2 linked regions of the Macaca fascicularis genome follow. The protein of the gene in region 2 interacts with the protein of the main gene of each other region in a biochemical or structural test. Links are inferred from orthologs where the notes say so. Each region holds a gene or a part of one and is shown on either strand. Other genes may lie near its edges.

Region 1 (3,652 bases), on a different chromosome or scaffold from region 2:
AAGAGCGCATCACCGTCCTCACGCCCACTCACACCCCACCAGCGGGCACCGCTCCTCGTATCTGCACGCAGCCACCCATACTCGCACCGCCACTCCTCGTACCTCACCACCATGCACGCTCAACTGCTTATGAAAACAACGCTCATCTCAATTATCGGCTTCCTCAGGTGAAAATATTTCTCAGAACACATTTCTCAAGACGCTTCCTTTCCTCATCCAAGCTGGCTTAGGGGAAAGTATAAGAAAGTGTTAATACTTATATTTATTCATTAGAATCGTACTTTATTTGCACCTAGCAAATACAAAAATGCTGGATCAAAACACAGACAAGCAAAGACTGTATCATGATTTCTTATGCATCAAAGGGGGAAACTGCCTAAGTGTTTTTTCATTTGTATTGGTAAACGTTCTCTTCCTTTCAAATGGCTTCTGGATGACAAAACGCAGGGCTCCTGGATAGGATCCCCGACCTAGAGGAGGGGTTGTTAGACGCAGCAGACAGCATGCAGACGCCGAGCGACGGCCTCACACACGGGGAGGGAAAGTCACCTGGGCTCGGCGCCTTTCCAGCTCCTGGCCCCCGGCGGCACATTCCTCCGGCAAGCACAGTAAAGGCCCCCTCTGCATGGCACAGACAGGAGGGGCCCTGCACATCTGCACATCCCCTTCCCACACAGGGTTACCACAGGCCTCTCAGCAGCAGCGGAGATAACCGAAGAACCAAGGCAGACCCCTTCTCAGTTCTCTAGCAGTTAGGGTGCATTTTGCTGCGTACAGAGGGACCAGCCCGGCACACTCGGGGCCCAAGGCATGCTCACCGGCGTCTGGCTGTTTGAGTGGTCAAGGGACCTCACCTCCTTGTAGCAGAGGGCAGCGGAGGGCCGGAGGGGAGGCGCGGGCCGCAGGCAGCTCAGGCTCCAGGGCTTGGGTGTTTTCGGAGGCTCCAGGGGTCCCCAGTTGATGGTGGTGTGCGGGGTGCCGTGGTGGGAGGGGTGGGGGAGCGTGTGGTAGGCGGGCGTCAGCGGCGCGGGCTTGCTGTCTGCGTGCTTGCTGGACGGAGTGACCGGGTGGGAGGGCAGCTGCCGAGGGCACAGAGCGGGAAGGGCAGAGAACGTGAGACTTGCATGCTCACCGTGAAAGGGCACTATCACGCACTTCCTTCCGCTCTTTAAACACTCCATGTGAAATAAACCCCAGGATTTATCATTTATCATTTCGTTCGAATCTCTGGCTCTCAGTAGTTTTTGGGGCCAAGCACCAGCTCGCGCCACCTGGGCTGAGCATGGGACCCCCCCACGGTGTCTGCCCCAGACGGGAGGGGCAGCTCTAGCTGGCGCCCCAGCACTCGGACATCCACTAGCCACATTTATTAGCTACGGAGTAACATTAACAGAAAAAAAGGTACTTTATCTAGTAAAAAGATGAGAATTTCACAAAAGCACACAGGGCATGTGGCTGTAAGAAGGAAGGTGATTCCCCCCGGTCACGTATTATTCTTCACCTGGTGATGAAGTACTGGGTGAAACTAAGGCCCAATCGCCTAGTTTTGTTTTTTAAAAAAGTTTTCCTGGCACACAAGCAGGCCCGTGCCTGTCTAAAGCTGCTGCTGTGTTACAAGGGCAGAGTACAGCTGCAAGAGGCCTGAGCCTGTAAAGCAGAGAATGTTTACCATCTGGCTCTTTCTAGAACACTGCCAAACCCTGGTATAAAATCAGTTATTTTCTTAGAAAACTCAACTTTAATCAAAACAAAGTTAATTGAAAATTAACTTCTTAGAGGAGGTATGTCATTAATGAATTTTATATTCCTGGGAAACCCGAAATATCCCATCACAATGACAGTTAAATGAGAAAAGTTAAGTAAGTCTCAAAATCAGCCAACAATGACTTCAAATTAGCCAACAATAGTAAGGCGCGTTTAATGGGAGAACAAGCTGTGTGGCGCTGTGAACTGGAAACCTGAGTGGGGTCGGCATTCTGAAGTACACGACCTTCAAAACAGGCTGAGAGGGAAGGCCCCACAGCAGCTAATGCCACAATTTCAAGAACAGACGCCATCAACTTTCTGCAATGATCACATTCTAGTCCCTGCATGGGGGAGGGAATCGTGTGAGATACAGGTCATGCTATGAAGCCACCGTAACGTCATCTTTTCATAGGAAATAATGTATAGATGGAGAAAATTATGTAAGACATCCCTCCTAGCAACAACGTCAGAGTTAAGTAGTGTCTGGTTTTGTTTCTCCTTTCTTGAGAAAGTCAAAGGAAGTATGCTTTATGCTAAAATTAGAATATGACTTCAGTTGGACAGAGTTAGATCACAGGAGAATACATCATCCCACAAAAGAAACTCTGTAGGAGAACGCAGAACATTTTAAACATGAGGCACAGTGCCTTCCCCGCCACCAGTGAAAGAAACACTAAGACGGAGGGTCTGGCCGCAGAGAAAAGCTGACTTGATGTAAAATTGTATGAAGTAGAGTTTCAGGCTGCTGTTGAAAATCTGAGTGAAGCAGCTCATCCACTGTTCTTTATAAACACACGTGTACACATGTCGCTGGGATAAACTGATCTCCACGAAAGAATGGAGAATTTTAAAACGGCAGAGCCATTAAAGATGAAATGCTAGCTAAAAGCCAATGAGTAGTTATCTGCACACTGCTGAGAGAAATCAGATGGACTCTGAAACTGATGAGAATATCAGAATACAGCAATCCTTCTTGATCTACAACCTTCCCATGAAGAAGAAAACATGAAAACTGAGCACACGACAGAACTGATCCTAATAACCTAGTAAGGATGTGAGGGAATCTGCAAGCTGAAAATGCCGTGTCATCGCCACTCATTCTTTAAAAGCTCTGCCCAGTTTTTCGGTATTACTTGATAAAGATGACGACTGTTAAAACAACCCGATACCAACTTCTTGAGCAAAAAACACCAGGAGAGGTTTAAACACTGCAACCGAATTCAGTGTTCATCTATTTTGAAAAGTTGTAATTCTCTAAAAATTCAAAGAGTTGCTGAGCTTTTCTAAGTAAAAGACACCTCAATTTCTTAAAATCAACAGTGTGTCATAAACTCTATTTTAATGCCTTCAACATGAATCTGGCCCTTTTCATCATCATAATCATTTATTTTCGTTTTCTTAAATGAAGCATAATAAACAGTTAAAATTCTCAGAAAAATCATCTATAGTTTAGTGTAAAACTCCCCTAAATTAGTCTTCTAAGGCCACGCTGAGCAAAAGCAGCTTCCCACCCAAGCACCTCTGAATTGTGCGTGAGGAGGCACAATTCAGGGTTGTTTCTCGAGAACACTCATTGGAAAACAATTCACTACTGCACAAAGAGGGCCAAATATTTTCAGAGAAATATCAAGCAAGCGTTTGCATTTTTATCCCAATATTGATCAGGTTTTAAAGCACGTGATCACTTGCTGACAGCTCAGCCACGGGATGCCACGCCTGGAGTCTGGAAGGAGAAGAAGCGCCAGGTCCTTACGGTATGAGACGGCACCGAATGAGGCTTTATGGTGGGGTTTCCCACAGATGTGACCTTCGTTTGCTTCTGTAGGTGGTCCACCCATTCCTGCAGATCCTGCTGGTTGTTGCATGACACTAATATCCGCTCGATCATGCTCCCTAGAGGAGAGAA
Region 2 (3,652 bases):
CCTCTCTAGTAGCTGGGATTAGAGTCACATGCCACCACGCTTACTAAAAAAAACTAAAAATTTTTGTGTTTTTAGTAGAGACAAGGTTTCACCATTTACATGGGATTATTTTTTAATGGTTAGTGGTCTTGCTCAGATGTCACCTCCGTGGGGCATCTTCTCAAATGTAAGACCACTTTTCAAACTATTAAGCTTGTGTAGTGCAAAGCAAACAGATTTTGAACTGGGGCCCATTCAAACTTTCACAAGATAATTAATTACATGCACCTGTAAACATCACACAAAAAAATCTCGCTGCTTCAATTTCCTCAACTGGGCAGAGGTCATACCTGTCCTAGGTACGACGACCATTAGGATCATTGTGAGATTCAGCTGAGATGACACACTGACCATACACAAGCTTCAGGGTCATTTTGGATGCTCCTCTTTCCAGACCCAACTTAAATGTCACAGGAACAGAAAGGCTTCCCTGACTCCACAGTCTGAATCAGATTCCCCTGAGGTACCACAGAGCATCCTGAAACTTTTCCACAGAAGGTACCACAATATAAAATTACATTTATTTGTGCCATCATTACTTAATGTTTGTCTGTCCTCTGAACTTAATCACAAGTTCCTTAAGGACAGAGACCAAGTTTGCTTTGCTTACTAGTGAGTGAGTGAATCACTCTATCTCCAGTTTCAGGATCATAGTTAGAATGTGGCCAATATTCATGAGAGTAGGAGGAAGGGAGGGAGGGATAAATGAGGAAAATACTATCCAAATTAAGATGGCTTTGATCATTATTAGTTTCTGAAAGCTCTGACAAATTAAAATACCATTAATAAGCAGTCAAGCCATATTCTGCTATTAAATAGAATTAAAAATTATTTTACTGAGTCAGGTATAGAATAATCACATGGGTGGCAAGAAGTGAGTATTCTCTATGAAGGAAGATAAAATATGGGGAATTCCTGTTTATTATCATAAAAGTATTTTGTTCCTTAATATTAAAATGTTCATTTAGGATACAAATGAACATAATTTCCTCTATTATTTCATAAGCTAAGAGAATGCAGGGGATTCTACAACTTTTAATAAAAGTGATGATAATAATTTGCATTATTGTAATGTCTTGCAAAGCACAAGGGCTGATTGAATATATATTAACTTCACTAAATTGAAAACTATTAAATGATTAATTTTGTTTCTAACAACAGCAATAAGAGTAATCATATTTATCATACAAAAAATTGCTGAAGAAACTTCAGTATGAAAAACAGTATTTCAGTATAAGGATGCCTTACCCAGCTCAGGCAGTCATGTTTAGTTGAAGACTAAAAGGAACCACAGTGCACTACACAGTAGGCCAAGTAACTATCATTTTAACCTCTGACAATAAAAATGTGATAACTTTGTTTAAATTATAGACTATTTTTAGAGCAGCTTTAGATACACAGAAAAATTGAGCAGACAGTCCAAAGACTTTCAATATATCCCTTCTCTCACCACCACTACCCCACATATATTTTCCCCTGTTATTAACAATTTGCATTAGTTTGGCACAGTTGTTCCAATCGATGAGCCAATATTTGACACTTCATTATCACTCAAAGTCCATAGTTTACATCAGGGTTCATTCTTTGTACTGTACATTCTATGGGTTTTGACAAGTGTACAATGGCACGTATCCCCCACTGTAGTATACAAAACAGTTTCACTGCCCTAAAAATCCTCTGTGCTTTACCTATTCATCTCTCCCTCCCCTAACCCCTGACAACCATTGATCTTTTTAATGTCCTCATAATTGTGTCTCTTCCAGAATGTCTTATAGTTGGGAACGAATAGTATGTAGCCTTTTCAGATTGCCTTCTTTCACTTAGCAATATGCATTTACATTTCTTTCATTTATTTTCATAGTTTGATAGCATTTTCTTTTATTGCCAACCTGCTAACTTTATTTTTTAAATCCAGCATAATATTTAAACTGAAATGCCACCTTTCAATCCCCACCTAAAGGGTCCATATGTGACTCATCTTGTACAACTTAGAGGGCCTGGTAAGGAGGAGACCCACACAGAACACTTACCAAGAAAATTCATTCTGGCACTGAAACTCTCCACTTTAGGACAAGCCTCAAGAAAGTTCTCTGATAGGGATGAAATGTGGTTTTTACTAAGGTTTAAAATCTTCAGTTCCTTCAGTCTCAAGGGGGAGCATATCCCTGATATTTTATTTCTAGTCACAAGAGACAAGATAATGATTAAACTGCGTAAATTCATTCATATGCTTTAAAGAAAAAATACCAAGAACAATTTGCTTTCGAAGAATAGCATCGAAGAGGACTCATTAATTTAAAAATTAGTTGTGAAAATGTAAGTCATTGATAAAAGTTGTAATATTCATTGTCTCAGTTTTTTATTATATATAATAATACTTATACATTATAATAAATATATATTATATATATATATTTTTTTTTTGAGACAGAGTCTCGCCTCTGTCACCCAGGCTGGAGTGCAATGGCGCGATCTCGGCTCACTGCGACCTCCGCCTCTTGGGTTCAAGCGATTCTCATGCCTCAGCCTCTGAGTAGGTGGGATTACAGGCGCGCACCACCAACCCCGGATAATTTTTGTATTTTTAGTAGAGATGGAGTTTCACCATGTTGTCAAAACTCATGACTACACAAATGTCAGCGTATTTTGTTAACATCAGCATATTTAGGCAGTCCTTTTACTTTTAATGAGCTCTTTCTTACCCTTCTAAAATGAGCTGCTCCAGTTTCTCTATCACATCAGCAAGGTTCTCAGGAACAGAAGACAGCTGGTTATATGACAGGTTAAACTGTTTCAGAGTTGGACATTTCACTGCAGGATCTAAAACCACTGAGGGTCCAATGTCATTTCGAGAGACATCAAGGTTAGCAACACAACTCATTTTCAACAAGTAAGAAGGAAATGATGTAAATTTATTACTGTGCAAGTCCAAATGCGTCAAACTCTTCAGAGTCTGAAAAGACAAGAGTTTAAAATTCTAAAGTGGACCATCTGAGGAACTTAAGTCTAGCTAATATTTCTGCCTTACACACCTCTGGTAACTAGAACCATCAAGAATTTTCAAAAAGTTGAAAACACAATCCACAACAGAATTTCAGTATACTGATTAGCCCAATCACCTCTGCTTATAGCATGGGTAAAACCAGCAAAATTACAACGGTAGACTGTAAAAAGCAGGTTCATGAAAATAGAGTTGAAAGCTTCCTTCAGCTTTTTTGTAAATTATTTCCAGAAAGAGCAAAATGGAAGCAGAATAGGCCTCAACAAATATTTGAATTAATGATTTAAGAAAAAGCACAACATAATCCTGGGAATATGTTTTAAATGCTGTCAGAAATTGTTACATATTTTGATATATATAAGATTTAACCATAAAAATAGTTACATACAATATGTGTTTCATTTTAGAACCTCCTCTTTTTTATGAAACTTTTTGTTTCAAATTTCTACTTTCCATTTTTAAGCAGTTTATAATTTTACAATGATAACAGCAAACCCCTACTTACATATTACATCGACTTTTTACAACTTTGTTATGTAATACTCTTAAAGAGCTCAACTGCCAAAAACAATCACTTCTCTATGTTCTTCTTTATATATCAGTATATTTATC

Evidence for each region.
Region 1: of the proteins of LRRK2 (region 2) and ARHGEF7, one has a biochemical effect on the other in vitro, tested with the Homo sapiens proteins (2 studies listed by BioGRID and IntAct). The link is inferred for Macaca fascicularis from reciprocal best matches to the Homo sapiens genes LRRK2 and ARHGEF7.

What each region holds. Positions count from the first base shown.
Region 1 is NC_088391.1:101,803,433-101,807,084, reverse strand, and holds part of ARHGEF7 (rho guanine nucleotide exchange factor 7), read right to left. Parts: intron 3,640-3,652; coding exon 3,500-3,639; intron 1,080-3,499; coding exon 855-1,079; intron 226-854; exon of another isoform or gene 103-225; intron 1-102. UniProt on the Homo sapiens protein: Acts as a RAC1 guanine nucleotide exchange factor (GEF) and can induce membrane ruffling. Functions in cell migration, attachment and cell spreading. Promotes targeting of RAC1 to focal adhesions. May function as a positive regulator of apoptosis.
Region 2 is NC_088385.1:46,779,698-46,783,349, reverse strand, and holds part of LRRK2 (leucine-rich repeat serine/threonine-protein kinase 2), read right to left. Parts: intron 2,993-3,652; coding exon 2,742-2,992; intron 2,219-2,741; coding exon 2,070-2,218; intron 1-2,069. UniProt on the Homo sapiens protein: Serine/threonine-protein kinase which phosphorylates a broad range of proteins involved in multiple processes such as neuronal plasticity, innate immunity, autophagy, and vesicle trafficking.